Linked DNA regions of Drosophila melanogaster. The protein of the gene in region 2 interacts with the protein of the main gene of each other region in a pairwise test. Each region holds a gene or a part of one and is shown on either strand. Other genes may lie near its edges.

Region 1 (11,333 bases), 1.0 Mb from region 2:
ACCCTCGGACTTTGTGGTTGTGGTCTAATTTTCGGTGGTGTTTCCGTTTTGATTAGCGCCTTCTATGGAGAGAACTTGATTTGGTTCCAGTTTCTGTATGGCTTCTCCTATGCTGTAGCGCCTGGTGCGTACATTTACTTACCTTACTTAAGTTTACAATATTACCCTCTCTCATTTCCATGGAATAGCTGTTTATTCCACACTGAGAGGTTTGATATACGTGAAATACCTGGGACTTTCAAAACTGACCAACGCTTTTGGGATTACCTCATTGGCCATGGGAATGGGCGCCTTTATTGGGACTACAATTGCTGGTAAATTGATAGGCATCACGGGAAACTATTCTGCTGCCTTTTGCTTTGCGGGATTATGTCTCATAGTGTCCGGATTTCTGAAGCTTCTGCTGCCCTTGCTTATTAAATGTCGCAACAGGATGGCCCAATGAGGAATTGGACTATTGGAATTGCAATATTTATTGGTTCTCCTGCTTGGAACTTGGGATTGTCTTACAACTAATAGCTTAGGCATTTTTATGACTTTTTTTTACTGGTCCTCGTTCCAAATTCTGAGTAAATGTTTGTATATCCATGTAATTGTTAATTGACCGATGTCATTAACTATTACTTCCTCCTTATTACAGATTTATTTTCAATATAATTTCAATTCAAGTGAGTTCTTTTTGGGGTTGACTTTTATTGCAATCCATTTTAAGTTATTAGTTAGCTTAGTTTACATCTAATATTAGCTTAGTTGCTGAACAACACACTTTGGCTCCACGCTTATAGGTTCAAGTGTGCTGTGTTTGGTTTTTCATTTGGTTTTGTTTCCATTTTTCCTTGTTTGGGTATGCAAATTTTCACGCTTCTTGTTTACTTTGATTTGCTTTCTAAACTTTGTACGTCTACTGTTCAATGTTTTGTTTTTTTTTTCTTCATTTTTTATATTTTATGATGATTTTTTTACATATTATTTAGAGCTAAAGCAACGAAAAAAAAAATATAAATCAATGTGAACACATAAACATAAGAATGTTTGAATCGACATCCGCAGGACGAATGACTCCAATCCTCTGTGTCCTGTGTCTAAATCTTTCTTGTGTTTTTTAATATTGTCAGTAGTCTTCCCCATCGTCGCCTCTAATTTAATCCATTTTTAATTGAAGTCTCTGCCGTCTGCGTTAAAAACAATGTCATTTGATAATGTAAAGTTAAATTAAAATCTCCTTGCGGGATGAACCACACTCCTAACGGCCTGGCTGGTCTTTCTTGTTCACACAGAAAAAGCAATTCTTACGCCTTAAATTAAAATTATATTTATATCGCCTGTGCCTCCGCCAAGTGGATCGTTCATGTGTCGGAATCGGACCTGAAATCGAATCGGACATATATATATTTTAATTGTATATACTTGTGGGGTGAGTCAAAGAACAAAAAAATATAAAAATATCAATCTATTATGGATTTTTTGTGTTATCTATATAAAAACAAAGGACTTCCCCTTTTCGATTGTGTATATAAATTTGATGTGAAATGCGAAATTGAATTAAATTCCAATTTAATTAATATTAATGAATTGAAATTGTTTGCAGTGTAACACTAATTTGATTGAGTTTTCCGCGGCGCGGCACACTTACCAATTAAAATAGGTCTGCGACCCGTGACAGTTGCGCTCGGTGCCGCACCACTTGGACTGCTGGAGCGCCGGGCACTGTCGTCCGCCCCTCTTGCCGTGCTTTATGACCTTGCGGTAGCGATGCATCTCGCCGACGCCGCAACTTTTGCTGCAGGCCGTCCACTCGGACCAGTGGCTCACGCGGCAATCACGACGACGCTGCGCGGAGCTCCGCCTGCGGGTGGCAGCACCACCGCCCACCGCACCACCGGCCTTGCCACCACCAATCGCGGATGGTGTCGGTTTGGAGGCGTTTGCATCGCTGGCATCTGCGGCACGCCGATAGCTGCTGGCGATGCTCTGCAGGATCGCATGCTTGTCGTTCTTCGGCACCACACTGACCACCTGACCAGGTGCCGGCTGCAGGCTGTTGTTGCTGCCATAGCTGCAAGTGAATAATGTGAAAAGGTCTTGTTAGGTCTTGCACGAAACAATTTGAAATAATAAGACAGCCTGTTTTTAAATTCTGCAAATTATACTTATTATACTATAGTTGGCTCGAGCAAATGAATTGATACCATTAGGCACTTAATCCTAAATTTTGTTTATAATTAACATTATATTTTTGTAATCTCCAAATTGCTTAGCCTCACACAGCAATTTCTTTGAAGGGTTTAGATCTGCTATATATATATTCCACCTTCATGATTTGCTCTACCAGAGTAGCTTAACTTGCTGACGCTAAAAGACTGCCACATTACACATACGACCCGTGTGCCTCCGCCTCTTCCATTTTCAAAGGTGTGCTCGCTGGCTGCTCACGTTTGTTATTTCAGAACATCAACTGTGGAAAATTTCAATTTAAATTTGCCTTTTGCCAGCCAGCCTTCGTGCCGTGTTGCTGGCTGACAGACAGTGAGCCCAAAGAGCCCAAAAAGGCCGGAATGCGAAATCGGAGACCCCTATGCCATGGAACCCAGGAGGGTATTTTTTATGTTTCTTTTTTTTTTTCTTCTGGAGGAGGACCCACGCGCGAACCACAATCCCCCGAAGTTCCCATTTTGCAGACTACGTTTGGCTGTGGCGCTGCCTGGCTTCCTTCCTTCCTGCCTTCCTTCCTGGGCAACTTCCGTGTTTTGTTTCCTGCAGTTTTTCGTTTATTTGCATACACACGCCGCGTGCAAAATCGCGCAAATAATAATAAAAAATCAAAAGGCAGACGAACAGGCACAGAAACTCAACTCTGATGAGCAACGGGACGATTGGAGGGAGGAGCGCAAATAAATTGGCAAAAATATTGAAATACCCAGAGAAGGACGCCAAGCGCCATGGGCCCAACGAAAATAATGAGGAAAATTCTCAAATTGAAATTACATACAGCATTTTCCATACTCAAATTCCCTTTTCCTTTTGCAAACGCCCTGCCTGCCTGGAACATGGAACATGGAAGTTATTAGCGACAATTTGCTTCGATCATGTTCACGGCAATTACCGTTAGATGAGCACATCAAAATGTATTAAGTAAATGTTGTTTGAGGCGCAATTTGCATTTCCTGTGCTCGATAAACTGACTGTGACTCAGCCTTTGGACACATGTGACGAGGAAATTGCTCTCTGGCCCGAAGTGAATTAGTTTTCCCAATCGGAAAGCGACGGTAAATTGATATTAATATTATAATTGGTTTGCTCAAATTGTATACTTAAACTGACAATTGTTTGAAATTTGTCATGCTTTCAATGTGATTATTGAATATTTGCATCGGTCAAATGCAATGGGAAAATCGTGAGGGTAGCAGTTTATTATATGTGTATTTAATTATATAACATACAATTATGGTTTGCATTCATTTTATTAATACTTTCATTGGTTCACACTTCAAAAATTAAAACAACACACTGGACAATGATTTTTGATTGCATTAAAATGTCTTTTAAGCCATTTTGAACTTGAATTGAACATGGACTGTGGACTTTACTATGAGTTAACTATTTTATTTTACTTATTTAAGGCATATATGTACACGTAGTGAATAATTCTATACAGAAGCACAGTTTTTCATTTCCTATTTTTCGTCAGAGAATAGTGCAGCAGAAAACCTCTCCTTGCGGCTGGGCATACACACTGGCCACCGGAGCCTGGCCACCCACCACAACGGTGGGCCGTGGCGGCGGCATCACGACCATGGGCGGTGGTGGTGGTGCTCCGACGATCACAGTTGGTGGCGGTGGTGCAACCACCACGGGTGGCGGAGCAAAGCCGATGCCCACGCCTATGGGCGGCGGACGCGGTGGTCCGCCGATATTGATGCCGACATTCACTCGAGGTGGCGGTGGTCCGTAGGCGATTCCGGGACCCCGTGGAGGTGGTCCTCCGTATCCGCGTCCTGGGGGTGGCATCTCGACCGATGGCTAACTACTGACTGACTGACTGACCAGCACTTTCGGGTCGATTGGGGTTCTTGAGTTTGCCACTTATCTACGCTATTTCCTCGAGTGTCCGCCGGTAATTAACTATCAATTACTGTGATTTTTTTTTTTTGGAGGGTCTTCTGTTTTACCTGATTAGATATGCGATAGGTGGAGCTTACATTCCCAGGCTGATAATAAAAAGACCCAGTTATTGATAAGATTTCTATGATATGATATGGTTTTGTACTGATTCACTTGCCTTGGGGAAAGCCCCTGACCTCTGCTTTAGGAAATGATGCATTTACACTGGCAACATCTACGCTTCGGTGGTTCGGTGGGTTTATCTCGTTTTTGGATCGGTGGTGACTGATTCGTTTCCGGTTTTCCCTGCACCTGCTGCTGTCCATCAGCCAGTGTCGCACTTAGGGAATATCGCTTGCCAAATTTGTCGCTGTTTTGCTCGGATACCTCCCCCACCAAAACAGTTCCGATGGGTGTGACGGGTTGTATGATCTCTTCCGTGACTTCGATAACCTCAGTGACTTGGCCATTGTTTGCGGACTCAACAACCACTTCCCTTTCCACCACTTCTACGAATGGAGGATCGTCGATGACCAGATCAGTTAGAATGAAATTGTTAAGTGGCTTCGCTGGTGGCTTGAAAGTTGAAGATGGAACTGGTTGGTCCACAATCACCTCCGATGGTATCTGATTCGACGGTGGTATTTTGAGTTTCAGTGCTGGGCTTGGTGGCGGTGTTGGAGTTGGAGTTACCTCCACTGATTCCACAACCACCGCCGTTTCGGCTAAGCTGGGTCTGGGAAGGAAACCCACTTCAACGGACCTCTGGGGTGGAGTATTAACTGGTGCAACTTCATTAATCTCCACATAAGACTCGGCTTCACTCAATCTTTCCACTTCCACTATTGGACTATGTGGTGCCGTATTGTAAGGGGTGACTTCTTCCACCTCCACGTAATCATCAGCTACGATTAGGCTCTCTCTGGAAATGAAGGGAAACTGTTCGGGTGGAGGCGATGATGTTGGTGTGACCTCAAGTGATTCCACAACCAGTTCTTGAACCAAACTTGCACGGGGCATATAATCGGTTGTCACTATGGATTGACGTGGAGGATCGGGTACGATTTCTACTTCTTCGACAATTGTTTCAACTACTCCTGCTTGGGGTGCATATCCATTTTGAATTGGCGGTAGCGCAGATTCTTTGATTTCAATATCCTCTACAAATGTTTCTACAAAACCTGATTGAGGAACAATTTGCTGGGGAGGTTGATAAGAAGGAGTAACTTGTTCTACTTCTATATTCTCCACGATAGATTCTACGAACCCTGAACGAGGAGGATAGCTAAGTGGAAGTGGTGGTCGCACTGAAGGTTCAACTTCTTCCGTGACATCTAAACGTTCCACTACCGATTCCACAAATCCAGTTTGTGGTGGAGCCGGAGCTTGTATATCCACTATTTCTGTGACTTCGATGTTTTCCACTATCGATTCTACTAGACCACTCTGAGTGACCACATCACTTGGAACTGCAGGCTGTGGGGGATCTACTTCTTGAGTGACTTCAATGTTTTCTACAATGGATTCCACGAAACCAGATCGAGGTAGATTTTCTATTTGTTCTGATTGTCTTAATGTGAGATCCACCTCCGTAGTTACTTCTATATTTTCTATCAGGGATTCCACATTGCCTGCCTGAGCAGTAAAGTCATTTTCAGTCGGCAGTAGGAATGGGGGATCTTCCGTTTCTATGACTTGTATGTCTTCCACCGCAGACTCGACAAAGCCTGCAGGAACAACACTTTGATCTGATATTTGCAGGACAGGTTGAGAAGGTGTAACTTCTATATTTTCAACAATCGATTCCACACAGACTGGTTCAGAGTCAAAGCCATTAACTGGAAGCAGAAATGGAGAATCATCTACATCTGTCGAGACTTCAATGTTTTCCACAATGGACTCATCAGTAGCGAATCCATTGGGTGGAAGAAGAAAGGGAGAATCGGCATCTATATTTTCCACAATCGATTCCACTTCAACATTTCCGGGAATATAACCACTCTGAACAGGAGCATCATCTTTTACCACTTCAATATCTTCCACAATCGTCTCCACCATGCCTGTCCGAGGATAATAACTCTTTTGAGGTGAAACCAGTGATGACTTAGATGCTGCGGCAACTTCTATGTTCTCCACAATTCTGGCCACAAATCCCGGCTGCGGAATAAACTCCGGCTCTTGTTGAATTTGTGCGGGCACGATGACCTCGACATTCTCGACAATAGTTTCCGTTGGCTTTAGATTTATTCTGGGAATATAACCTGTAGGCGGTAGTGGAGGTTCCACCGATTCCGCCACCACATCTGTTTGCACCACTTCTGCGATGGGTGAAAGTGGGGGCTGCTGAGCCACTGGAAAGAATCCTGTCTGCACTTGAAGTGGCGGTGGTGCATAGGGTGGTGGGTCCAATTGATCAATTATTATTTCCTCCTCCACCACTCTAGTGTGCTTCTGTGTTTCCCTAATAGACTCCTTTGTCTCTGATTGAAAAACAACAGTGGTGAATTCATCGGAAGCTGAAGTAGTGTCCATAGTCTCCACTGCATCGACAACCTCGTTATCCTGTGAGAGATCTAGATCAGTGGAGGGATTGGGTGAGGGCTGGTTCCAAAAGGCCTGGGGTTCCCACACCACATTGAAACCCACTTCTTCAGTGGGGGTGAGGAATGGTGGTGAGGTTTGCGGCAGGGGCGGTGGTGGAGAAGTCCTCTGCTTGTGGTGGTGATGCTTCCTCGATTTCGGTGCGTTCTCCACAAGAATCACTTCCTCTGTTGCCACAACTTCAACATTTTCCTGCCTTTCATGGTGATGATGATGTCTGTGATGGTGATGATGGTGACGATGCTTTGGTGCTACAGATCCATCGATATTCACGATCTCGATTGTCTCCTGGACGGAGCCACTGCTCGTGGCTATTGTTTCTATCGTTTCATTCACACTCCTCTCCTCCACGATTGTCGTTTTCATTTTGTCGATAATTATGCCGTCTCGTCTTCGTTTGGGCCATTAACTGAAACCCCAAATGCTTTGTTCGGCCCATTTATACTCGGTGTTTATGTCATGGGAAATGTATTTTCATGCGTTAAATCCTTGTACAGATAAGATAGTTACTATATCTAAACAATGCGGCAACTATTTGTCTTCGACCCCGCCGTATTCGGTTCAGTCTCTGGAAATTGTTAAGGTTTATGTTTGATCGCAATTTAGACTGCGAATTCCATATGCTCACTGGTCGAATTCTTCTGTTGGCTATGTTCCCGATTTCGATTCTTGCGACGCTGATTGTGGGCTGCACTACCTGCGATTACGGTGAAGGTTGCTGGTGGGATTCCGGACATGTTGCTGGCACTTAACTCTTTGCCCGATTGCCGGCAATTTCTCTACTTTTATAGGCCACCCGCGACATGGCATTCGATAAGATAGTAATTACTTTCAAACTGGTCCGAGTATTCCGCACATTTGGCAGACCCAACTGATATCCGTCGGGGTCTCCGGCCTTTGTTTCCAACCCTGTCAGAGTGCCAGGAAAAGTGGGGCCAGTCGACAACGCCCACTCGCCGGCTCTTGGCACTCGAACACGTCCCGTTGGCTGGTGGGGATTGTCATTAAATATGCAGGTTACCAGTGCCAATGGTGCCAAAATCCACTCCAGCAGCTTTGGCCAAAAGTGGCACGAAAATAGACAGCAAGCGCTGAAGGGGATGCGGATGAGGATGTAGATGTGGATGTGGATGTGGATGAGACTGGAACTGTTAGCAGGGATTAGTTGTAGTTTCTCCCCGACCGGAGTTTTGTGAGATCCAAGGAATTGGGCGGCTTTTTAAAGATGCAGCATTACCCAGGTACGTGCCACTCGGGCGACTCTCCCTCGGCTCTTTCGGTCTTTAGTTCTGGGCCACACCCGACGCCTCCAAAGCGGTGTAATGTGCTTTGAAGTGTGCCAGAAAGCTGTTTTCCTTTGCCTTCCAACCAAAACACCCACCCACCCATTCGCTTGTTTTTCCAACAGCTCGGGGCTTGGCACGTTGCTTTAAATATGTGAATGCATATGTAGACGGAGGAGTGTTGAAAGTAGTTGGTCTTGAGTTAGGGGAAAGCACTCTACGCATATGTTAAATAGGGCCAATTGAAGCGCTCTCTGCACTCCAAAACAGATTACGTATACGAAACGTGCCATTTAAGGCTTACTCTTGGCCTGAAGAAACAGTTAAAGCTGTCGAATGGCAACTGTTTCTACTTTTTAGGTATTATTCTCAGCAGTCTGGCAAAGGCCAAGTGGCGAGGAAACTCGGTGATATCTATTAATTAATCATTTGTTTTTGTCAATCGATACTTATAAGATAACCAATTTTTAATGGGCTCTAAAAAATGACTCGTTTTTCGTTATTTTGAAGGCTTATCATTCGACCTAGAGACTGGAGAGCCTTGAACTGTTAAGCTAAAAATGCTTATATATAAACCATATTAATATCTATAAAACTATATTCAATTTATTTTAATAAAAATATTTTAATTTTAATAAAAAAGTTTAAAAATTTTAAATTGTCAATTAAAAATTGTAAAGCTAACTTAAAAATCCCTTTGATTCAGAATTGTTTGCTAACCCAAAATGTTGCATAATGCGAATCGCAATTTCAAAAAGTTTTCAACTCTAACATGAGCTTATTTGGTCGACTTTTATTAGTATTAGTTTGTGGAGTATTTGCGCTATTAAAAGTTTATCTTTGCTAAATTACATTTCTACAATATGCTCTTCATTTCCCTTTGATTTTTTTTTCTCAGGGTTTTTAGCATAGCTTATGGCACATTTGTAGCACTTACATGGGATTCATTTTGGCCAACAGCTGGGACCGAATGCGCTGCCTCTCGTCGTCGTTCTGCTGCAACTGCTGCTGCTCCGTTTGTCGTTCCCGTTCGATGCTGGCGGACAACTCGTTGTTCATCTCCACGTGATTGTGCTCCGCGTCCAGGTGGGTCTGGGTCTGGACCGTCTCGTACTTGCGATCGTCCTCGGCAATGTTAAACACCTCGCTCAGCTCGTACTCCTTCAGCTGCAAATAGGATGCCCAAAGGGACGGAATGTTAGTCCCCCGGCTTCAGACACATGTGCAGCATATTAATTTACGGGGATTATGTGCCCGGCATCAGCAACTCCGTGTACAGGATGCGGAATGCCGAGCAACCAAGGACCGGGAGTACAGGTGCTCTTAACGCGCTGCTAATTTCAATTTGTGGCAAATATTGACACAGCCAAAGGGAGGGGGGGGGGTTTGATGTTGCAGCAGAGGTATGAAATGGCCACGAACCTCTATGGAATCTAAGGGTATTAAACGCCAGTCTAGATTTGCCTGAGATTTGCTCTTTCTTTAACAACGAGTCTTATTGAGCATTGAACAAAGAACAAGCACAAAAGAGCCAACCAAAACCAAGGCGACTTTAAGTGATTCTTCTCATATAATCATATAATCAACCCAGCGACCAAAGTGTACCTCGCACCAATATTCCCCACAACCCACTGACACTTCCAGGGTATGAAAAACTTTGTTTGGTGCGCTGTCGCGCATTTTAATTTATTTGTTTGGGCCGCTGTCATTTTCTATATACAATACGCATTGTTATTGTAGACCCCTCCGCTTTTTGCTGGCTTATCTTGGTCTACCTTTTGGTACCTACATTCTACATTCTGCAAATGCGTCGACAGCGGCGCCAGAAGCCACAATGAAAAAATACAAAAAAAGAAATCTAAGGCACTACAAAAAAAAAAAAAAACAAACGAAAAAATCCAGGAAAAATTCAGGAAAAAAATCAAAACAATGGCGGAGAGACGCGTGTTGCTTTAGTGGCATTAAAATACACAATAATCCAGCACACACAAAAAAAGATAGAACGCTGGTAGGGGAAGGGGGTGGTGGGGCTGGAAAAACTGTGAAATTCCTTGTGGATTACCCAGACGGCGAGTGAAAACCCTCAGCATTCCCGGCTGCCGAGATTACGTGCCTTTTGCCATTCACTAAATGACACACAAATATTCCAGCAATTCGGTCTCGGGCCTCAGAATTTAAGAATTTAATGCCCAACTACCCCTTAGCTGTTGGGCAATGCAAAGGAAGCAAATCAACACATAATTACACTAGGACCTTGGACATGTGCTGGCCATAAAATAACGCATATAAGTAAATAACTTTCCATTCTGTTGGCCATAAACAAAAGTCGGCAGCCTTGGGCGTTTTGGATACTAATAAAATGACAGACCTTTCGTTTAACCAATGCGAACTTTCTTTGCCCTGGGTATGCAGTTTAATGGAAAACATAAAGATCTGTTTAGCACTCAAGGCGGAATTCTTAGATGATAAATACAATAAACTAAGGCCCAATTCCGTTTTATAATAAATTCGAATATTTCCTTAGATTTTCCAAACAATAAAATCAATTGTAAGCAAAATTGGACATAATTAATGTGACTAGCAGCTAAATCGGTTAATAATGTTTTGCTGTTTGAATTCCTGTAACAACATATAATGCCAAACGCCACCATACAGCTAATGTACCCTACTAAAAACGCCCCCCAAAAGAGTAGAGGCTTCAACACGCCCACTCCGAGAAAAGCCTAGAAAATAAAACTAAAATTAGTAGTGTCAAAAAGGCGTTACAATAATACGAGCTGCATGGCGAGCAGCAGCAACAAATAAAGAATAATGACCGCACGTACAGTGGGCAGCCACGCCCACTCGCCCATGCCCACGTAGCAATTGCCCCTTCTATATATACCTATATCTATACATAAAGTGCCCCTGTGAAATAAACTATGCAAACGTAGTCGAAACATCTGGCAATGGACTGGGGAGCAAATGGGGGAGCAATGGACGTGGAGCCCGAGGCATAAATTTTATGTGCGCTTCCTTGGGCCACACATAAAAGCAATTTTGATGAGCGACCCAAGGCATTGTAGCCGTAAGTGCGCCACTTTCTGGATGTCTTGGATGTCCAGCAATATAATTACAATGCTCCAATAGCCACCCGTCCTGCTCTGGCTATTCTGGCTATTGCCATTTCGCTCTGTTGGGGCGTTTTTACTGCCGTTGAGGGTTCTTTGTTGCAGCGCCGTTTGGCTGAGGTCCTTTGGCGTTTGTCCTTTGTGTCTGGCGGGCCTAATGGATTGGCATTTATTAAGGAGTGCAGAATAATGTTTATTGCAGCGCTTGAAAACAATGGCACAAACGGCTGTGCCGCCT
Region 2 (10,443 bases):
TTTTCACACTTCATCTTTAGGGCGAACTCAGCACATCTCTTTCTCCAGGAGAATTCTTCGCATTGTCTTTGCTGCTCATTTAATGAGCTTCTCTCTTTGAGATTTTCATCCGAACATTTGTCCTTGAAATCTTTTTCTGCGCATTTTTGCTTCAGTTCTTCGTTCGCACAAAGTTCCCTAAACTCTTTTAATGCACATTTTTCCTTTAATTCTTGCTCTGCACACTTTTCCTTAAGTTCGTTTTCTGCACATTTCCTTCTGAACTCTTCTTCTGCGCATGCTTTCTTTAATTCTTTTCTGGCACATTTTTCTTTTAAGTTTTCCTTGGCACATTTTTTTTTCAATTCTTCTTCTGCGCACTTTTCTTTCAGATCCTCTATTGCACACATCTTCCGTAACTCCTCTTCAGCACATTTCTCCTTTAATTCTTCTATTGCACACTTTTCCTTCAGTTCTTCTTTAGCACATTTACTCTTCAATTCTTCTTCTGCACATTTTTCAGAAAATAAATCCTTTTGCTTTGTGCTTATAATGTTTTCCTTTTCTTCTGCTAACTTTTTTTGCAATTCTTTTATAACGAGCTTCATTTTTGACAAAAGGTCTTGCTCGTACTTGTCAGATGTTTTGCACTCTAAAGACATATTTTTTAGCACATCTTCAACGAAATCCTTTTTTTCTTGACACTTATCCTTTAAAGACTCAATGGCGCAGTTTCGATTCAGACCAAATTCATTAGATTCAGTCTTAAGTTTTTCATTTGCACTCATCTTTTCTAGCTTAGCCATAGCTTTGTAGAATTCTTCTGCAATGCTTTGGCTTAGACCGTGTTTAATACATTGGTTCTTCAGAGACCGTCCTTCGATCACCTCTTTTATGTGTGTGCACTGCTTAATAATAACATCTACTTTATTTAATATGCCCGTATATTCCGTATTTCCCAACATTGATGGATTCGAAAGAGCGCAAGCATCCTTTTTCTGGCACTCACAACACTGTATGTAATGCCTCCAGAAATTTTCAACTAATTGATTTACATTATTGTCCTTTTCCTCAACATTGCAGACTTTATTTCCTTTCAAATCCTGTTGCATTCTTTTCTCCATCAGGAACATACACCTAACCATTAGCTCTGCTACTCGAAATTTCAGCTTGTCTTTATCATCTAACATTGAAAAAAACTTTGAGAAATCAATATCTTTCTTAGACTTTATGCCTCCTTTGTCGATATCATTTTCAGGTGAACACCATAGATTTTTGTGAACACGGCTTTTAAATACTTTATGCAAGCTGTTGCCGGATTGACAAGATGGTGGCTGGTTATCCACGTTTGCAGCATTTGAACAAGGAATTTTCGAGATACAATCAGCAGTATTGGGTGGCTTTAGTGCAGCTTTACAATCTTTTTTTTCCGAACTATTATCACACAGAATTCGGTTCTTTAAAGTGTCATAGAAGCCCGTTAGTTTTTGATCATATGGTGGAATCATTTTGGGTCCTGACTCGTTTTTCTGACCACCCAAATTGTGGGAACATGAGTCCATGATATTTCCGTTGACCCTCTTAGAATCCACTTTCTGTTCTGCAGAAGATGAAGGCACCTGTGGATCAATGCATTTTACGCATATATTTTTGTTATCAATTCGACTCACATTTTTTTGGTTAATAGACTTGAAAGAAGATTCTCTAAGACATGGAAGACGACCCTCAGTTTCCTTCTTGGCTTTACTTATGAGTTTCTCCTCACGTTCCTTTATTACTTCCATTGAGTGAGGAAGTATTGGTTTGTTATGTGAAGATATTTCTTTGTCGTTTGCTCTTCCAACACTTTTGGATTTAGTTTTTAACGGGAAAAATGCATCCTGACCCAACTTATTTTGCCTCTGTGGATTTAAAGATTCTTCGAAAAAGGTCCAATCTATCGAATCGTCATTATATTTTGCCTTTGGAACTTGTGGCTTTGCCTTTGGCTTTCTTTGCGTTATTTGCCGTTTGTATTTCCTTTTATTTTGATAATGCTGCATTAGAGCCTTGTTATCTGAGTGGTATCTCAGAAGATCGGCATCCTTTCCCTCCTGCAATTGTTGCCTTACTTTTCTACCCTTTGACATGAGCATGGTAACAAAATTTCTGAATGTACGTTTGGGTTCCTTAAACTCGAGGTACGCCTCCTTATCATCTGGATATGATCTGTGAGAGGAACTCGGCGAGTATTTCTTTTTGGTAGACCGCTTCATGCGGTTAGTCCTTTCGTTCTTCTCAATTCCCTTGTCTAATCCGTCAACACCCTCGTTCATTAGATCCCTTAGACGTTTGTTCATTTTTCCATTCGATCTTTCCCTAAAACGCCGAGCTCGTTGATAGACGTCTGGACGGGATTCCCTTTTGCCCCTGCCCGATTCTTTATGGTAGAGGCGTCCCATCTGACTGATAAAATAACAGCTGCCAGGGTGTCTGTATCCACAGACTTTGAGTCTGTGAACTTCGCCCACAATGCAGACCTTTTGTGGAACCTGTCTTATCGATGGCGAAGAGCCCGTTTGGCTGAGATCGTTGGTGAGAATGTCGTATGACATCGGAGGATCATCCTGGAAGAAGGTAGTCTGCTGACTAAATGCAGATCCATTGCTCTTTACCAGGGTCCAGGGTTGGATGTATGGACTGGGTTGATGACAGACCCACAGTCGTTTTAGCGGCAAGTTAATAAACCTGCGAAACATTCCAAAGAGCACGATTGCTGCGGAAGGGTCCTTCTAAGTGCTGCGGTTACCAATGAAATTTGGATGGTTAATAAAAAAAAGAAACTAAGGCCAAGTTTACGTGGGGGCAGTCACTGGAGATTTTATTAAAAAACTAAGCAAAGTGAAATAAAATTCATGACAACTTCGAGTGCGAAACACAAGGAAATATGGACAACAATGCTGATGACCTGGGCGTCTACTAGAAAGGCAACGGGGTCAAAGGTGATCAATGTACCACTCGCTTTTCACAGTACCCATAACTTTCCATTGCTGTCGTGCGAGGTGGCCAAGACCACGGTGACGGTGGCAAGGACGATAGCCCAGTTGCTACAGTCGATTACCTGGTCTGAAAATCTAGAAATCATATATCTAGGGAAATATATCCTAGGGTAGGAAATCCGCTGCATCAACTGAAGGACAAGCGGCCTTGACGACCGCCGTGGTCCTTTAAGCCTTTCTCCTTGGGCAAGCAATGATATTTTGGGCTCCTTAAAAGCGCAGTTGTCCACCTGTCTGCGTTACAAATTATAGGTTATCCAAGCCATACGTTCTCTTCCTTTAAGAGATTAAATTTCAGGATAGGTTTATTTTTTCTTCTTTTTTTCCTCTGCTTCGGCGGCTTTCTCTTTCTGATCGAATTCATCACATTCTTTCAAAATCCTATCTTCCTCGCATTTTTTCCGTTTCTCTTCTTCATCCGCTTTCTTCAATCGTTCTTCCTTGTCCTTTAGGTCTTTTAACTTGGAGTTCAGTTCTTTTTCTTCGTTCTTAAGCGATTCCAGTTTCTTTTTCAGTTTCTCGCATTTTCTCTTTTTCGCTTCTTCGGCGCATTTAAGCTTTTGGAGTTCCTGTTCGCATTTCTCTTTTATCTCTTCCTCTTCGCATTTTTTCTTTTTCTCCTCCTCTTCGCATTTCTTTCTCCGTTCTTGCTCTCTGCATTTCTTCTGCTGCTCATTCTCGCATTTTCCTTTTTCGACCTTTTTCATTAACTTCTCCTCCCTTTGCAACAGTTCCGTACGTTTTTTCCTCACCTCGCATAATTTTTTGAAAGCGTTTTCTATGCACTTTCTTTTAATTTCCTCATCGCATTCTCTTTTACAGCCTTCGCTCTTGCATTGTTTTTTGAACTCACCATCGACTTTCATAATATCTTCTTGTGTTTTCACTAGGACTTGACATATTTTATTTTTTGCTTCCTCTTCACATTTCTTCATTTTCTCCTCCTCCTCTCGCTTTTTCTTTCTCTCTACTTCATTGCACTTGATTTTTTGTCTTGCGTCTGCGCATCTTTTCTTCATTGCACACTTTTCGATATTAGCTTGTAATTCCTTAATCTCGCACTCTTTATTTTTTTCTTCCTCTTCGCAGGACTTTTTCATCATTTTCTTCACTTCTTTAGAGGCTTCGCTAAAGTCTACGTCGTTCTTTTCCGTGAGATCTTGAATAGTGGGGCATGCCTCTTTCCACTTCTTTTGAACGCAACTATCTCCACATTCCTTTTCTGCCTCGCACTTATTCTTTTTTTTCGGTTCTCCAAAGGAATAGGCACACATCTTCTTGATCACCATCTTACGGCATCTCTTCTTGATTTGCGCACTAAGGCAGTCTTCTATGGCAGCCACATCAGTCTTATTCTTCTCCTGTGCTTTGCATATATCCTTCCATTCTTCGTATTCGCACTCTTCCATCCTCTGCTCGAATGGTGATTTTTTTGCATCTCCCTTGGAGCATTTCGGTTTTTCCTTGGTCTTCTTTGGGCACTCCTCCTTCTTGGATTCCTTATTTTCGTCCTTTGCACGTTTATCTTTCGGAATCTTTTTAGGCTTATCACAAGTCTTAGCTTTTTTCGCCGGTTCTTTGCTTTTATCCTTGGGTGCTCCCTTACAGCTATCAATTATGGCATTCTTTCCTTTCTTAGCTTTTAGTGATTCTTCTGCTTTCTTTGCAGTCTTCGCATCGTCCGCTTTCTTTGGCCTATCGTTGCATTTATCCACTTCCGGTTTATCTTTACATTTTTCCTTCTCTTTCTTACTCTCTCTTTCCAACTCGGCTTCTAAGAGCTTTGTGGTATCTGCTATGCATTTCCTAAGAGTTTCTGATTCCTTGCATCTCTCTTTCTCTCTTGGCTCCTTGCACCCTTCCGCAGAGTCGCCCTTCTTCTTGACCGGACATTCCTTCATTAATTTCTCGATCTTCTTATCCTTGATCAGCCGCTCGTAGCGTAGCTTAAGTTCCTGCTCCCTACAGTACTTCTGCATCACCGACTTCAGACAGACTCGCTTGACGCCGGCCATCACGCAGTCCATCATATCCCCCATGGCCTTCTTCTCCTCCGGCTTCATGCAATCCATTTTTGACTTCAGCGCCTTCGACTTGACCCCGATGCACTTCTTCAACTGGCATATTAGGCGGTCGGCATCCCTCCTGGCCGCCTCCTTCTTGTCGGCCGCCTCCTTTTTCTTCATTGCGAGTGCCTTTTGCTCCTTCACGCACTTGTACCTTTCGCTGTCCATGAGAGGTGGGTCACAGTATCTGCGCAGCTGCCATTTATAAGCTATGCCAATGGATCCGCGGACTTGGGGAGCAGACATCCGCGTAAGCAGGCAGCCGCCAAATCTGGAGCCCATTGATAAGAACCGTGCTTAGTCCCCCACGAACATAAAACTAAAAACTAAAAATTTAGATGGTCGTGAATTAAAAAAAAAAAACGAATTTAGAACTAAATTTTTGGCCCTGTTTGTTTAAAATGAAACTACATGAATTTTTGTTGAAAATGGAATACTGGGTTCATAAAACATTTTAAGTACTAGCAATATTTTATATAGATCTACATTGGTATATCCACGAATTGCGGGCCTTGGGAAGAGCACCATTGAAACGCTCTCCTTGCTGGCGTCAACCATTTTCAAATCTTTGCTCAAACCTCAGAAATGACAACAACGCAGAGGAGCCACAACCACGACATAGTTACACACACATCCCATCGAGGGGCCAACGGCAGACAAACACTTTTGTCGAACATAAAATCGAGCACAACTTAATTAAATGTTAAAAGCGCGACCGCAGCGCGTCTGTGGCAACCAAAGGTGTGAATACGAAGGGGTTGTTGCCGGTGGGCTGGGCATTTCCGGTTTGTGGGTGGGTTGTTGGTGTGGGGTTGGGGTTGGAAACGCCGTTATCACAGCGAAGAAGACGTTGACAGACGCTAACTTCATTTTCGGGGTACTGCTTCAAATTAGCAAACCTGTCAACTGTCAGTGTTTGTGAGTTGAAGTGCGGCCAGAAGTATGCGGGGTAGGCGGTTGGGTTGGAGGTGTGGGGCACGGCTCCAGGCGAAAAGCAAGACAATGTGCCTCACCTGTGCTTCAACACCTTGCAGGAGTTCCTCAGTCCCCCCCCCCCCACGCTACTCCATCGCTCGATAAGGAAGTTGCTCTGCGAACTTTGCAGTCTATACAGAAGAGGCCTCCATGGCCATGTGTGTGTGTGTGTGTCTCTCTCTGTGTGGGTATGCGCGGTGAATTATGGCATGTCTACTTCCGCCACCTGCCAACCCACAGTCCCCCATTGCGTTGTTTGTAATTTGTTAATTTCCCGCATTTAGAAATTAATTTTCACTTCATGCGCCGCCAAGCAGACAACAGCAGACAGGTGAGTTCGAGTTGGCCTACCTTGGCAGCACTGTCGCACATAAGTGTGCTTTAACTTTCTGCCACACGCACTCACACACGCACACTCACGGCGGCATTACGAACTTGCACCGCAATTACGAGTGCCACCCACTCAGCCCAATTCAGGACCAACCCACCCAGTGAGCTCATTGCGTATTTAAATTCCTTTATGTTGTCATTAATTTCTGCAACTTGTTCGGCAGTGTCGCTGTTAATTTTTAAACGAAAGCTCTGCCCGAGCAGTCTGCCATGTGTTTGACACGTTTACATTTTAATTGCGCACATGTGCACGGTGGGAAGTGCGCATTTCATTGTTGATGTGAGCGGGCGCCGAATGTGAAATGGGTCTGCGGAGTGTAAAACTTTAATTGCTTTATTATGTCGGCCAGCAGGCAGGTGGGAAACATCCTCGGAGAATCACAGAATCGCTCAGCCCACATTCGCGAAGAATTGGGCCAAGGCACTTGAATCGCCCCAAGGGCTAGAACACCCCGAAATAAAGATGGCACAGGGTTCTCTTCTATGTTCCGAAGAAATCTCTTTTTAAATTGACTCAAGTAGTCTCAGGCTAATATGTAAGCTCTTGCACTTTTCAGTTTTAGCCTTACTAAGCCTTACTGTTCAAAATTGGATGTTATAAGTTTCCGCAATTCCGTTTTAAGTCATGGTGTTTTTGGGACGCCATCTCTCACGATCTCTCGCGTACCATCTAAAGCAGCCCAGTTGGAACCGATTGTTCCTAAAGCCCCGCACTAATTTGCACCATGTATCCGTTTACTTGGGACAACCAAGGATACTTAGCCACAAATCCGATGCATATGATGATTTAAGCTCGAAATATCGAATGAAAACTAATTGCATGATCAATCAAGCAATTGATCAATCAGAACCGCAAAAATTCTACTACCACCATCGGATCTACAAAGCATCCCAACTGAAGGACCGTGTTTTTAAAAGAAACATCGATCAAATATGCCTGAACCAACAACGATCGTTTTGCAAAGAGGCCGATAAAGATAGTTGCTATTGCAAAAAATTGGAGGATGAAAACTGCGCACTGCAGCCGTTACCAAAACCGGAACCCAAAAAGAAATGCTCACGGATATCCAGAAAGAGAAAGCATTTACTTGAGCAAAAGAAGAAAGCGGCAAAATCTGAAGCCCCTCCAGAATCGCAAAGTGAACCAAATCTAGACGAAGCCGTCGATGAGCTGAAGTTCAGTTGCATGCTAGCTTCCGAGAAGAAAGACTGCGAGCGCAAGCAGTACAAGGCCCTCTGCGAAGAATTGAGAAAGTCAAAGCCTCAGGGTGATCCCAAGTCTGTAGATTCTCTTGTAAAGTGCATGCTTTCTGGCATACAGAAGGCGTGTATTGTTCACGCCGAGAAGATTGTCTACCAGAAGAAGTTCGCTGAACAAATCGCGATTGAGGAGGCTAAAAGAAAGGAAAGAGAAAAGAAAGAGGGAAAGCCTCTAGACTGCACTAAGCCGAGTGAGGACGACGAAACTGGCGCAAAGAACAAAGCTGAGAAGAAAAAGGCCAAAGAGAAAGCTGAGATAAAACGATTGCTCAAGGAAATAAAGGGCAAGTGCAAGAAGCAGCGTGAGGAAGCTGAACGCAAGAAGAAAGAGGAGGCAGAGCTCAATAAAAAATGTAAAGAAGCAGCTGCTAAAAAGAAATGTGAGGAATTGGAGGCTAAAAAGAAATGTGAAGAAGCGGCTGCTAAAAAGAAATGCGAAGAAGCAGCAGCCAAGAAGAAATGCGAAGAAGCAGCAGCCAAGAAGAAATGTGAAGAGGCAGCGGCCAAGAAGAAATGCGAGGAAGCAGCAGCCAAGAAGAAATGTGAGGAAGCAGCAGCCAAGAAGAAATGTGAAGAAGCAGCAGCCAAGAAGAAATGCGAAGAGGCAGCGGCCAAAAAGAAATGCGAAAAATCAGCACCAAAAAATAAATGCCAAGAATCAGCGGCCAAAAACAAATGTAAAGAAGCAGCAGCTAAAAAGAATTGCGCGGAAGCCGAAGCGAAAAAGAAATGTGAAGAGGCAGCGGCCAAAAAGAAATGCGAAGAGGCAGCGGCGAAAAAGAAATGCGAAGAGGCAGCGGCCAAAAAGAAATGCGAAGAAGCAGCAGCAAAAAAGAAATGCGAGGAAGGTGCTGCTAAAAAGAAATGCGAAGAAAAGGCGGAGATAAAAAAATGCGTAGAATCAGACCGTAAGAAAAATAGTGCAAACGATGCAGCTATGAAAAAGTGTGAGGAAGACAAAAAGAAGAAATCTCAAGAGGCCGAGAAAAAGACGAAAAGCGAACAGGCCGCGCTTCAAAAGAAATGTGCCGAGGCCAAGAAGAACAAGGCACGTGAAGCCGAGAAAAAGAAAAAGACAGCAGAATCCGAACGGAAGAAAGACTGTGATCTAGCCGAATTCAAAAAACGATGCAATGAGCTGAAGAAAAAGATTGCAGAGGCAAATTGCGAAGAAAAGAAAGGCAAGTAGTGGGCCATTAATAAAAAAAAGAAAAGCTTATCGGAGGCGTGGGAGATGAAGTCCCCTACCTATTATACATTTCAGCTGTAATTTCAATACTTAAGTTAAGTAATGATCTATCTTTTCCTAATAAATTTGGAGTTGTATCTTAATTTAAATTTGTGAGCGATTAAAGTCAAAATTCCAGATGTAGTACGTATCTTTGCATTGACAGATTAAAGTTACTTTCAGCACTAAAGCATTAAAGCTATTTAAGACTGGCTTTATCATCGGACGGCTAAACCACTATTGTTCGGTTGGGGAAATGCCAACAGACCCGCTAAGTACAGGCTTGCTGAAGGACAATGATGATGAAGAGTGGGCCGAGAAGGCCGAGGAGGCCGACAAACAATTGTGCCCGCTTGTCTTGTTTATTGTCATCCATCATGCCAAGGCCCCTGGTGGTCGGGGAGATCGTCTTCAAGCAACGATTTGTGGCTACCATCCGGCGGAGGTGGAAAGTGGGCGAACGGGAGCCTAACGAGTGGAGTTTACTCATTCAGTCGAGTCTTCTCCTCAACCAGGCTCGGCCTCATTTAGCCGTTTTGCTGCGCATTTGCCACTGTCAACGATTCTGCCACCCGTTTGCGTTGCTCTTGTAACATTTCCACAAGGCTCTTTTTTTTCGATGCTGCTGTAGTTGTTTCTGTAGCCGTAGCTGTTGCTGTTGCTGCTGATTGTTGCACAAGGATTTGTCAAGGATAAAACACTCGAGGGCAGCCAGTCGACATTGTCGTAGTTGTCGTCACCGACGCTGCTTCATCATGGTTACGATTATGATTATGTAGCGACAGTTTTTGTCCTGGCCCCGCTGAAAGGCATTCGGTCGGTGTGGAGGTCCTTTCACACGTGTTTCCCTGTGCAATGGTTATCGATTTTCCGCATGGGAATGTGCAGTCCGTGCGGCCTTGGATTTTCCCAGGACATTGCACTGAGAATTTAAGTAGGGATGCTGGCAGCAAAACACATTTACCCAATTTGAAATAGGGAAAAGCGGACTAAGAATATGGTTTTCTATGAATAGGGTCTCTACAGCTTTTCTTCCAATAAAATCTAGAGTTCTTCCTCTATTTGCTTTCAGTGCAGCCTGCATAAAAGCAGTTTCGCTTTATCTGCAATTGGAGACCTTGGAGCTAACATGTGCACCATATTTAAGTTGATCCATATGCTTTGAGCTGGCCGGGCGTGCTACACTCTTTCCGTGCCCCCAATTTGGCGATCTGCGACAACCCAAATTCGTTTGCCAAACACATTTCATCCACCGAAATGCCAAATGCAAAGCAGGCAACCAGAAAGGCTGCGGTTGCCAAATTATATGCAACTGCGGTGACGTGGGCGTGGCATGCGGTTAGTTAAACAAAAGTGTGGTACCATGAAAACTGGGTCAAAATCCTGGGGGAGAAACTGTCACAATGCCAGACGCATTAAAGCTACTAAAAACCTGCCCTCCACACCAAAAAAACCAACAGCCAAAGTTCAACAACAGTGCTACAACATGGGACATACGACAACATTG
Region 3 (9,616 bases), on a different chromosome or scaffold from region 2:
TATATTATATATATTTTTTAAATTTATTATATCTAATGTTAATGTGTAAATGGAGTTGTTCGCCATCAAATTAATTGATTTCCTCTGCACTTTTAAGCTGATAATTGTTGAAATCCGAAGGGGCTTAACAAGCAAATAGTTCAGTTGAAGTGGATTTTCCTCATTTATTCTACGTATGATTGTCGCTGCCAGTCATCGCCTGAGATTACTAACCATTGCATCAGGGCTTAGAGATCGGGCTAAAACGGGCGAGACGCCTGAACAATAGCATCATCGCTGCATATCCGGTACACTAATGAACACTTTGCAGTTATTGCTAATTAGACAAGCCCTAACTCACACCGGCGCACACACTAACGTATTGCTAACACATACATACATGCACACATTGAGACTTAGCCAAAGCCGTTAAACATGCAACTTAATTTTTGGGGCGTCACCGGAGTTGCATATCCAGTTTTTTGAAGCCAGTGCCGTTGGCAGCGACTTAGATCTTTCATCTCTTAGAAAATTCCAGTTATACAAGCGCAGGTTTTTTAGGTCTGCCTTCCAATAGTTAAATCACCTGATTAATAATTCCACTTAATTACCTTTTTGTAGACAACTCTCTCAGGCGTGCATTCGCCCGATAATTAAGATTCGAAAACGTTTCGGTTTTTCTAACTCACTGTTGAAAGATGCCAATCGAAAAAAAAAAAAAAAACGGCATCGACACCCGGATTATTACGCAAGTTTCGGGTTAGGAAAATATATATACATATATGTATATATACATACAGTCAAGATGAGTTTTAGCCACATTATCGCCTTGACCCGCGCACAAAAAGGGCCAGAAATGTGAGGAAATGGCAAGTGGCAGCCGAAGCGGCAGCAAAATAAATAATAATGTGCAAACAATGGCCAATAAGGCTATTATGTGTTGGACTTAAGCTGATTTGACGCTTAGCGTTGCCCGCCTGCGAAGAGGCGTGGCAGGGGGGCAGTTGCAAAAGTGGCCTAAAGCGGGGCTAATGACGCGTGCCAACTGTGGCAACAGGCGGGTATATCTTTACTCAGTTTTTTTTTTTTTTTTTTTTGGGCGCGTCCGAGGGGCGGACATATCGCACATTGCGAAGACTTCCAAAGAGGCAGCTAATCAAATGGTAGCTGGCAGTTGGTAGTTGGTAGCTGGCAGTTGGCAGCTTGCTCAGGCGAAACAAGTTCGAGGATGGAGTTGTCAGGCGGGGGATCCCATTGTTTCCTCGAAAAAAAAAATAAGCTAAAAAGCAAATATATACGCGGGGAAGCTGAAAACCTTTTGACACCCAAGACAAAAGGAAAGCGGCGGCGTCGGCGGCAGGCGCAAAAAGAAGCATGCTGCATAAATTGCGCGGATTGCGTAACACGCCGCCACCGGGGAAGTTGTGTAAGGCCCGGGGCAGCTTCATCCACTGGCATCCACATTGGTATATATAGTATCTCTTGATTTTCGGCGCTACTCGCTTTCGGTTTCGTTTGCCCATGATGGGGCAGGCTGTGAGATATTGCACTGGGCCTCCGACTTCAGATGGAGATGGAGATGAAGATGAGGCTGCAGCGGCGCGGAAAACCGGTTGCCACATGCCACACCCACACGGGAAAAAAATTAGTTAATTCGGAAGCAAAGGAAAAATGCATCTAAGTTTGAATCTTAAAGTTCAAAGGTCTACTATTATTCAATAGTTAAATTATTTTTTATATATTTTGGAAAGCCATAACATACCCCTACTATTTTCTCAGTGCAAGCATGAAAACAGTTTCCGCTAACCGACTTTCTCCTCGCTGACCCGCAGGTCCCAAGGAGTTCTCCTACCGCGGCAAAAACATGTTCCTAACCACCCACGTGCCCGCGCTGGCCAACAAGAAGGTCGATTGGTTGGATGGTCGCAATCTGTGCCGCGAGTACTGCATGGATCTGGTCGCCCTGGAGACTCAGGAGAAGAACAATCTGATCTTCCGCGTGATCCAGCAGAACGATGTGCCGTACATCTGGACGGCCGGACGTATCTGTGACTTTGCTGGCTGCGAGAATCGTCCAGATTTGGAGCCCAAGACCGTCTATGGATGGTTCTGGTCCGCAACCCGCGAGAAGATCCAGGCCACCAACCGCATCCCACAGGGCTGGGGCTACAACCCATGGTCGCAGACTGGCCACAAGAAGCGCCCGCAGCCGGACAACGCCGAATACGACATCAACCAGACCAAGGAGCAGTGCCTGTCCGTGTTGAACAACGTGTACAACGATGGCATCGCCTGGCACGACGTGGCCTGCTACCACGAGAAGCCCGTCATCTGTGAGGACAACGAGGAGCTGCTGCGCTATGTGGCGGCCACGAATCCCGGCATCCGTCTATAGAGCGGCTCGCTGGGCGTTCGCTGTTTGCCTAATTTTAAAGCTACTTATTATAATATTCCTTAAACGAGTTTTTGTATAATTTTTGTTTGTATGTGTACGACGAAAACGGAAGAAAGCAAGACAAATAGACTTTAGAATTTACAATTTCCGATCCTACAAACACCACAAAACCACCCACCCACCAAATCCACAATACTGCTTTCATCACACCTTAGCACCCAGCACTTAGTCTCACTTCTCCTTCCTCCCTACCTTCGAAACTGCCAATTTTACGCGTAGAATTCTATTCCGTTGTAAACAGTTGAGTCGTTTTCAGATCGCACCTTAAATATTTATAGGCAATCCTAAATTGCAAGTGTTTCGCTCTGACCCACTGTCTGTCATTCAAGCAAGAAATTCGGAATCTCTTTAGTATTTTGTTTGAGACACTCATGTTTTGTCCACAAAGAGATTGAATAAAATTTTGTAAAGATCCCATAAAAAAGAAAACACTTGAATTAATACTTTGGTTTTTATTGGCAATGGTTGTGCTGATGATCGGGTGTTGTGGAGTTGTGATGATGATGATGCCTCTTTGATCTGCGATCGTCATGTGAAGATCCCGAGGAGCTGTGCTCTCTTTTAGAGCGCACGGAACTCCGGTCACTTCTTGACCTGGAATGATGATTCCGCTGTTGGTTGTTTTTGAGATCCCGACCTCGGTTGCCCAAGTCCTTGGAGTTTTCCAGTTCAACCTCGGGGCTTGCCGACCAGCGCCAGTTCCTGCCGTGCTCGCTGTGCTCATCCCAACTGAAGAGATAGGGAAAGTATTTAAATAGTTTGCCGGAATATAAACTAATATTATATTTAAATCCACCTGGGTGTCTTGGCCGTTGGAGTTTGGCTGGAGCGTCGTTCACTGCGTGGACCGCTGGTGTACTCCAGTTCCGTGTTGAACAGGTTGTTCGGATTGCCAAACAGGTGCAGATAGCCGCAGTCGTTACCTTTGGGACATTTACGTGTTAAGGACAAACCTTTAAGAAGTCACAGATTGTGTTAAAGAAAATGGTATTAAAACATATGAATGGGCTTGCTTTGAGTTTTGGTTTTTTAAAGGATACGGCTTCCTCTTGGCATGCAGTTCACGTACCGCAGACTGCGCCGCGCCAGGTCCTCAGATTGGAGAACTCCACGTTTAGTCGCTTGGAGGCGTAGTAGCGACCTTGGAGATTGGTAAATGCGCGAAGTGCAGATCTGAAATCATGACGTACGCTTTATAATAATTAGTTTATGACCTCTTTAGACATTATTAACATAACATAAAAGTATGCAAGCGCAGAGACAATACAATATATATATTTTTTGGCGAGAGAACAGGTATAAATTAAAATTGTGAATTATATGAATTAACTTTTACATGAAAATGCTGGGAAATAGGCTGCATTTGAATATCCGAATTGCTTGCATATAAACAATGTCATATTAATTAAATAATAATAATGATAATTAATACTCTCAGACAAACCGTTCGTTTGTGTACTCCACAAAGACGTGACCCCTGAGGTGTTCCAGCGTATTGCGCACCGTGCGGAAGTTGACAATGGTGCCGAACTTTCTCAGTTCTTCGACGACATCGTTGAAGAACTCATCGTAGTCGTGGCGCAGATCCTGTTCGGTCAATTCCAGGTGTTCCTCCGCCGAGGCGTACTCCTTGTGCGTGCATCGCTTCTGCAGCATGGAATGGTTGAAGAAGTGCCGGATGAGAAGGATCCTTCCCAGCATCGGGCGGCGATGGTTGAAGGTGCAGGCGTGACCGTAGCGGCAACAGTTGGTGCGGCTAAAGAACTCGCAGGCTCGTTCCTCCGGATGCGTCTCCATTACACGCAGAAGGTGGCTGGGTGGCTTCTCGATACGCGGGTTGTTCAGATACTCATCCATGCTCTCCATCATGGCATCGAATTCGGCGGCAGCCTTGGCGGCTTTTCGTGTCTCTTCCTCGCGCTGCTTCCGCTGTCTCTCCTCCCGTTCCGCCCGCTCTTTCGCCTGTTCCCGCTGCAAACGCTCCACTTCCTCCTGCTCCTGACGCTTCTTCGCCTCGTCCATTTGGAATTGTCGCTGCGCTGTGGCTTCGCGTCGCAGCCAGGACTCCTCCGCCAACTGGCGCTCCCGTTCGTCGGCTAGTCGTTGGAATTCCTGCATTTCCTCCTGTTCCTGCGACCATTTCTGGTACTCCGGCTGCATAAGTCTTTGGTTTTCCGCCTCTTCCTCCAGTTTATCACGTTCTTTGGCATGTTTTTGACGACGCCGCTTCCTCTGCTGCTTCTTGATTAACTTTCGCCGTGCCCTTTGTATAAATTATATACATTAAATTAAATTATACATTATATTTAAACAAATTTATAGTTATTTACTTCCTTCCCGGCATTTCGCAAAATCAAAACATTGAATTTCGGTGAGCAGCTGAAACGCATTTGTGAGAACACAGCTGATTAATACCGTGTACAGGGTCTATGAAAAATACCACAAAATACTGCAGCACGAAAAAAATTACATTTTTACATTTACATATTTTTCAAAGTTTTCATAAATCTGGCAAATCAAAAATGTTTTGTAAGTTTTCCCTCAAAATTAAGATTTCATATCATAAATGTTTAAAATTTACGAATTCTTACGATTTTTGTAATTCAAAATTTATTATAAATTATAACAGTCTAATATAACACCAAGTTTCGTTCTTGCTATAAAATGTAAAATAACATTGCTGTATAGCACAATGCCAAAAGCCTCAGTTCAACTTACACTGCTATAAATTATGTTATGTGATTTTTATAGCACTGTGTCGAAGAGCTTTTAAAATTTAATAGAAGCGCTTAGTTTGAATATTTTCTTGTTTATCAGATTTGTATATTTTGAATTGAACCGTTTATTCAAGCTTTTTCTCAATTCCCCCTTCCATCGAACCAGAAACTTTCGAACTCGAAAATTCCCCTCTGCAACAATGTTGCCAGCAACATTGTGTCCGGCGATTGCCGAAGATGCGAAAAAAAATCAAATTCAGTGATAAAGTAAAATTCGTGCGCGTCGGTTCACCTACACTTCGTGTCGCCAGAGAAAGCCTTTCTCCTGGCTTTCTCTCTGAGCTCTCCTTTTGCGCTCGGCTCCGAAATCCGAAGTCCGGAATTTGGACTCCGGCTCAAGCGCCGAATCGCCGAGCTTGGCTCACGGAAAACCAACTGAGTTGTGCGAAACTAAGTCAAAACAATTGATGTGAATTCTCGCGGCACAACTTGATATTAGATAAATGAAATAATTCGCGCCGCTGGCACTTTGAACTCGTAATCAGGTCGCAAGCATATTCACGGTTTTTTGTGTAGTAACCACAGGAATTCAAATTCATATTCGTTGAGATTCTCGCAATGCGGCTAATTGGATTTATTCTGAATTTGGCAGCCCTAACAGGTAAGTGGTTCTTACACTGGGAGAAAAAGAAAACAAATGTTATCTAAATACATAAAATAGCCTGATTCTAAAGCTAGCAATTAAGGGATATTTAGAAAACAATATTTTTGGATTTGATGCTATCAATCCATAGATGCTATATTAGTTGTAATAGTAGATTTTTGTAACCATCACTTATTGAAATGCAATTAAATAACTTAAATATAAACTTAAAGAAAGAAGAACATATATCGCAAATTAAAACAATATGTTCTTTACTTACAATTTTTTTCTGTACGCCTAAAAGGGGCATTTAATTTTCAATAATAAACGATTTGACCGCATTTGTTGCTCTAGTGTTACATTGGCTGAGGTGGTCATCGAGTTCTGGAGGGGATGTGGATGGGGATGAGGATGTGGCGACCTCTTCCGAGTTACGTTCTGCGTTTTATTTTCGGACCCATGAACGGTGTTTATTATGTTCTTGTCTGGTCGATGGACAGTTACGAGCTTTAGTAGTATTCATAATGTGGTTGTTGTGGTTTTCCGTCTTCCTCGTCGTCGTCGTGTCGTTACGTATTTATCAATATTTGCCCTCTGTATTTAGTTTTGTGGCTCAAGTGTCTCGTGGCTAATAGAAAATCGATGCTGGCACATTGTTGCACATTTCGCTGAAGTATCTCGAAGATACTGGGAAAGTATCTTGCCGCTTTGCAGCCCTTTTGCGCTGTTCTCACTGCTTTCTGTTGGATTTTTTGAAGTCGCTGTCAGTCAACGATGTTTGCTCTTAGTCTTTCGATCAATTTTCACTGCCTAAAAGCTGTCTGAGGGGTGTTAAGTCGCACTTGAATGGCATTTTCCATGGCCTGCCACATGCCTCTGATTTTCCATGGAACCATTTTCCCGTTTTCCCGTTTGCCATGGTCCTCGTCTCCGGACGACACTTCAATCTGCATGCCCCACATTTATGTGGCGCTGCGTTTTTGGGCTTCTCGTTGCTCGCTGCTCTTTGATTTCTTTCGTCCTTTTGGCCCGCACTCTGCTCACTTCGTCCTGCGTCCTTGCAAATATTTAATTTAAGCCTGCTGTCATCTCTCGCCGAAGGGTATCAACATTTGCTGTCGCCTCTTGTCGCGCAGTAAAGTGGCAACAATGGTTTTATTTATTTCAGCAAAGCATAAATGATTAATGTAATTTTCATTTGCTCAACAAATCTATTTATATGAATAAACTTCGCATTTTTGTAAGCAACGTTTTTTTATAATGGGCAAGTGCATGTCCTTAGTTAGGGACTCCCAACTTCGCCTTGTTTATATACCCTTCACTTTGACCATTCTTCGAGTGGATACACTGCAGCTGCACTTGCTTTTATCCCTGGTAACTGAATCCTTTTTGCGCCCCATTCCGTTTATTGCTGTTGCTCTGGCCCACTTGCGGTTTTGTTTAATTACGCATATTACTCCGCCTTTCGCCGCCAGTGTCATCGCAGCCCATCGCATCCTTCCGTTGCATTCGCCGTCCCAGAAACCGACACATCGCCATATTCCCAGTGCGAACCCCCCCCCCCCCCCTTTAGTTGCTGTTTCTGTTGCTGCGGTCACTTACTGACTGGGACGAGTGTCTTTGGTTGGATCTCTCTTGAGGCTTGTCAACGGCAGGGTGAATTTCCGGAGACGCCTGAGGTCGGTAGATGGAGTCGAGTTGTTTTGCGGTTGCCTCGGGCACTTCCGCCTGCCGTTTGGGGGTTGCATGGGTTTGGGTTACGTATTGTCAAGTGACCAACTGGCTCGATCTGACCAACTGGCTTTGAGGATGACCAAGCTGGCAGCTGGCAGGCGGCAGTCGTTGCCAAATCGGGCTGGTTAATTACTTTGCTAAGTGCTGCTGTCCCATCTCGCGCAGTAAAGCCCTCTGTACATCTCGAATTTATCATATTTACCCAGTAAATTCCACAAATTAAAATCAATACGAAGCCTGCGGCAGGGGGCGCAATCATTAATTATACAAGCGGCCGATGCTGCTGATGCTGCTAATGAGGTAAAGTGTCGACAGCAACGCCCCCAGTGAAAGAGTGTCCCATTACTTTCGACCGCCACTGTGCGCCCTCATCGCCGGGTGGGTGTGCACTTTTAATTGAGGGAAAGGTCAGCGTCGCATCGATTTAAATGCAAAGCGAACCGTAAACAGAGCTATGGACACTGGACCTGCTCTAGATAATGCCGGTGAATTTATAACAATTAGATAATTATTTAATATTAACTGAGCTCATATTGAATTATATGGTTCTTTCAGGAAAGTGCAAAAATTGGAATGCAGAATTGAAGCAACTTATTTTAAATTCGCAGTTATTTCTTTTTACCAAAAAAACCTAGCTAGTGTATAAATCAGCATGTAAATCACTCCAAATCCAATGTGCAGTTTCAGTGTGACGAGGGGTTTGTTGGGGCCGCGGGTTGTTAGTTGTAGGCGTAGATACATGCCCACGCATGGTTCGTCGCTGGCGATTCAATTTAGTTTGCCACTTAACCCCAGAGTGCCCCACGCGGCGGTTTGGGCCGCCACCTTTAACTCTCGCGCTGCCTGGAGGGCGGTTTCACTGCATAGCATGATAAATTGCCACTTGACTTTGCATATTTGCGCTGTCAACGGGTCGTGAAAAAGGGTGATGACTGTGTTGGAGTTCGGGGAGGCAGATGCGATGCACAGGAAAAAAAATGTATCTCCTGTTTGAAATCTATAAGGATTACCTTTATTTCGATCGGTAAGCAGAATAATTATTCATAACATACTTCACTGTAAGTTGATATTTCTCTGTCTCTTATCAACCTTTTTTCCTTTTAAAAATCTTATATGTGTGACCCATATTTATTCAGTTATAAATATACCAGCACTATGTAGACACTCGATTATTAACAGATTTTTAGGCTTAAGTGCCCCTGATTTCTTCCAGTGGCCCTCTCCATCATCCGCAGCCACAAAACGGTCTCAACTCACTTGCTTTCACTTCATTGTTATCTATTGAATTTGTTCAACTTTTGCCGGGCATCCGAACTTTGACTTTTGCTGAAGTTTTCCGAATTTCGTTTTCCGTGTGTGTGTGTGTGTGTGTGTGTGTAGATGGGTGGTGTGGCGATACAAACTCATCAGCCTTGACACCATTTAAGTTTTGGGGAGTCCAGAGCCTAGAGCTCAGCGGGAAGTCGGACGAGAAGCCATTGGAGCTGGCCATTGTTGTGTGTGTGGCTCGTGGATCGGGTGTTCCATTTAACTGACACTGGCAAAAGTGTCCTGTCATCCTGGCCATCTTTCCCACCCACTGCCACGTGACGTGCCCATTTTCCTGGTTTCGCCTTCACTTTGCATGCATGATTTTGGCCGTCTTTTTTTTGTGTCACTCTCTCTCTCTCTCTCTCTCTCTTTCTGTAAGCCATAAGTTTTCGTTTTGTTATTATTTTTAAAATCCGACAAGCACTCCACGTAGAGTGGCTGTCAGGTGGCGTCGAGTCCTGCATTTCACTGTGCCACTGACATCGCGTTTTCCCCCAATTTTCCACATACATTCATGTATATACATGAATATATCTCTTTTACCGCGAATCGCGGCGTGAATAATTACAATAGCCAGTTTGCCCGGGGGTCACAAACCGAACTCAATTTGTTAACACCCGAAATGTGTTGGATCTGATTCAAAATCGATGTTTTTTCAACATGGTTTCGCTGGGCGGTGAATTGAAGTTAATTGGGAACGTGTGCGATTTTTCTGCTTTAACTAAAGTGCATTTCATGTTAAAAATACAGTTCAAAAATAAAATAACTTTGTTTTTA

Evidence for each region.
Region 1: the proteins of CG13337 (region 2) and CG30480 interact in a two-hybrid assay, tested with the Drosophila melanogaster proteins (one large-scale study listed by BioGRID).
Region 3: the proteins of CG13337 (region 2) and CG3294 interact in a two-hybrid assay, tested with the Drosophila melanogaster proteins (one large-scale study listed by BioGRID).

Annotation. Positions count from the first base shown.
Region 1 is NT_033778.4:14,671,021-14,682,353, forward strand, and holds CG30480 (uncharacterized protein), read right to left. Parts: upstream 7,117-11,333; 5' UTR 7,069-7,116; coding exon 4,306-7,068; 3' UTR 4,280-4,305; exon of another isoform or gene 4,209-4,279; 3' UTR 4,009-4,208; coding exon of another isoform or gene 3,685-4,008; 3' UTR 3,586-3,684; downstream 1-3,585. Other genes in the region: Targ (tarag), read left to right, coding at 1-124, 189-445; mspo (M-spondin), read right to left, coding at 1,347-1,365, 1,634-2,056, 8,923-9,152; CG30479 (uncharacterized protein), read right to left, coding at 3,685-4,008.
Region 2 is NT_033778.4:13,660,129-13,670,571, reverse strand, and holds CG13337 (uncharacterized protein), read right to left. Parts: upstream 5,459-10,443; 5' UTR 5,366-5,458; coding exon 3,323-5,365; 3' UTR 2,816-3,322; downstream 1-2,815. Other genes in the region: CG18368 (uncharacterized protein), read right to left, coding at 1-2,717; CG6209 (uncharacterized protein), read left to right, coding at 7,074-8,897.
Region 3 is NT_033779.5:4,789,834-4,799,449, reverse strand, and holds CG3294 (uncharacterized protein), read right to left. Parts: upstream 4,793-9,616; 5' UTR 4,779-4,792; coding exon 4,765-4,778; intron 4,698-4,764; coding exon 3,879-4,697; intron 3,608-3,878; coding exon 3,504-3,607; coding exon of another isoform or gene 3,496-3,503; exon of another isoform or gene 3,475-3,495; intron 3,388-3,474; coding exon 3,231-3,387; intron 3,164-3,230; coding exon 2,887-3,163; 3' UTR 2,869-2,886; downstream 1-2,868. Other genes in the region: slf (schlaff), read left to right, coding at 1,812-2,374; fipi (factor of interpulse interval), read left to right, coding at 5,770-5,812.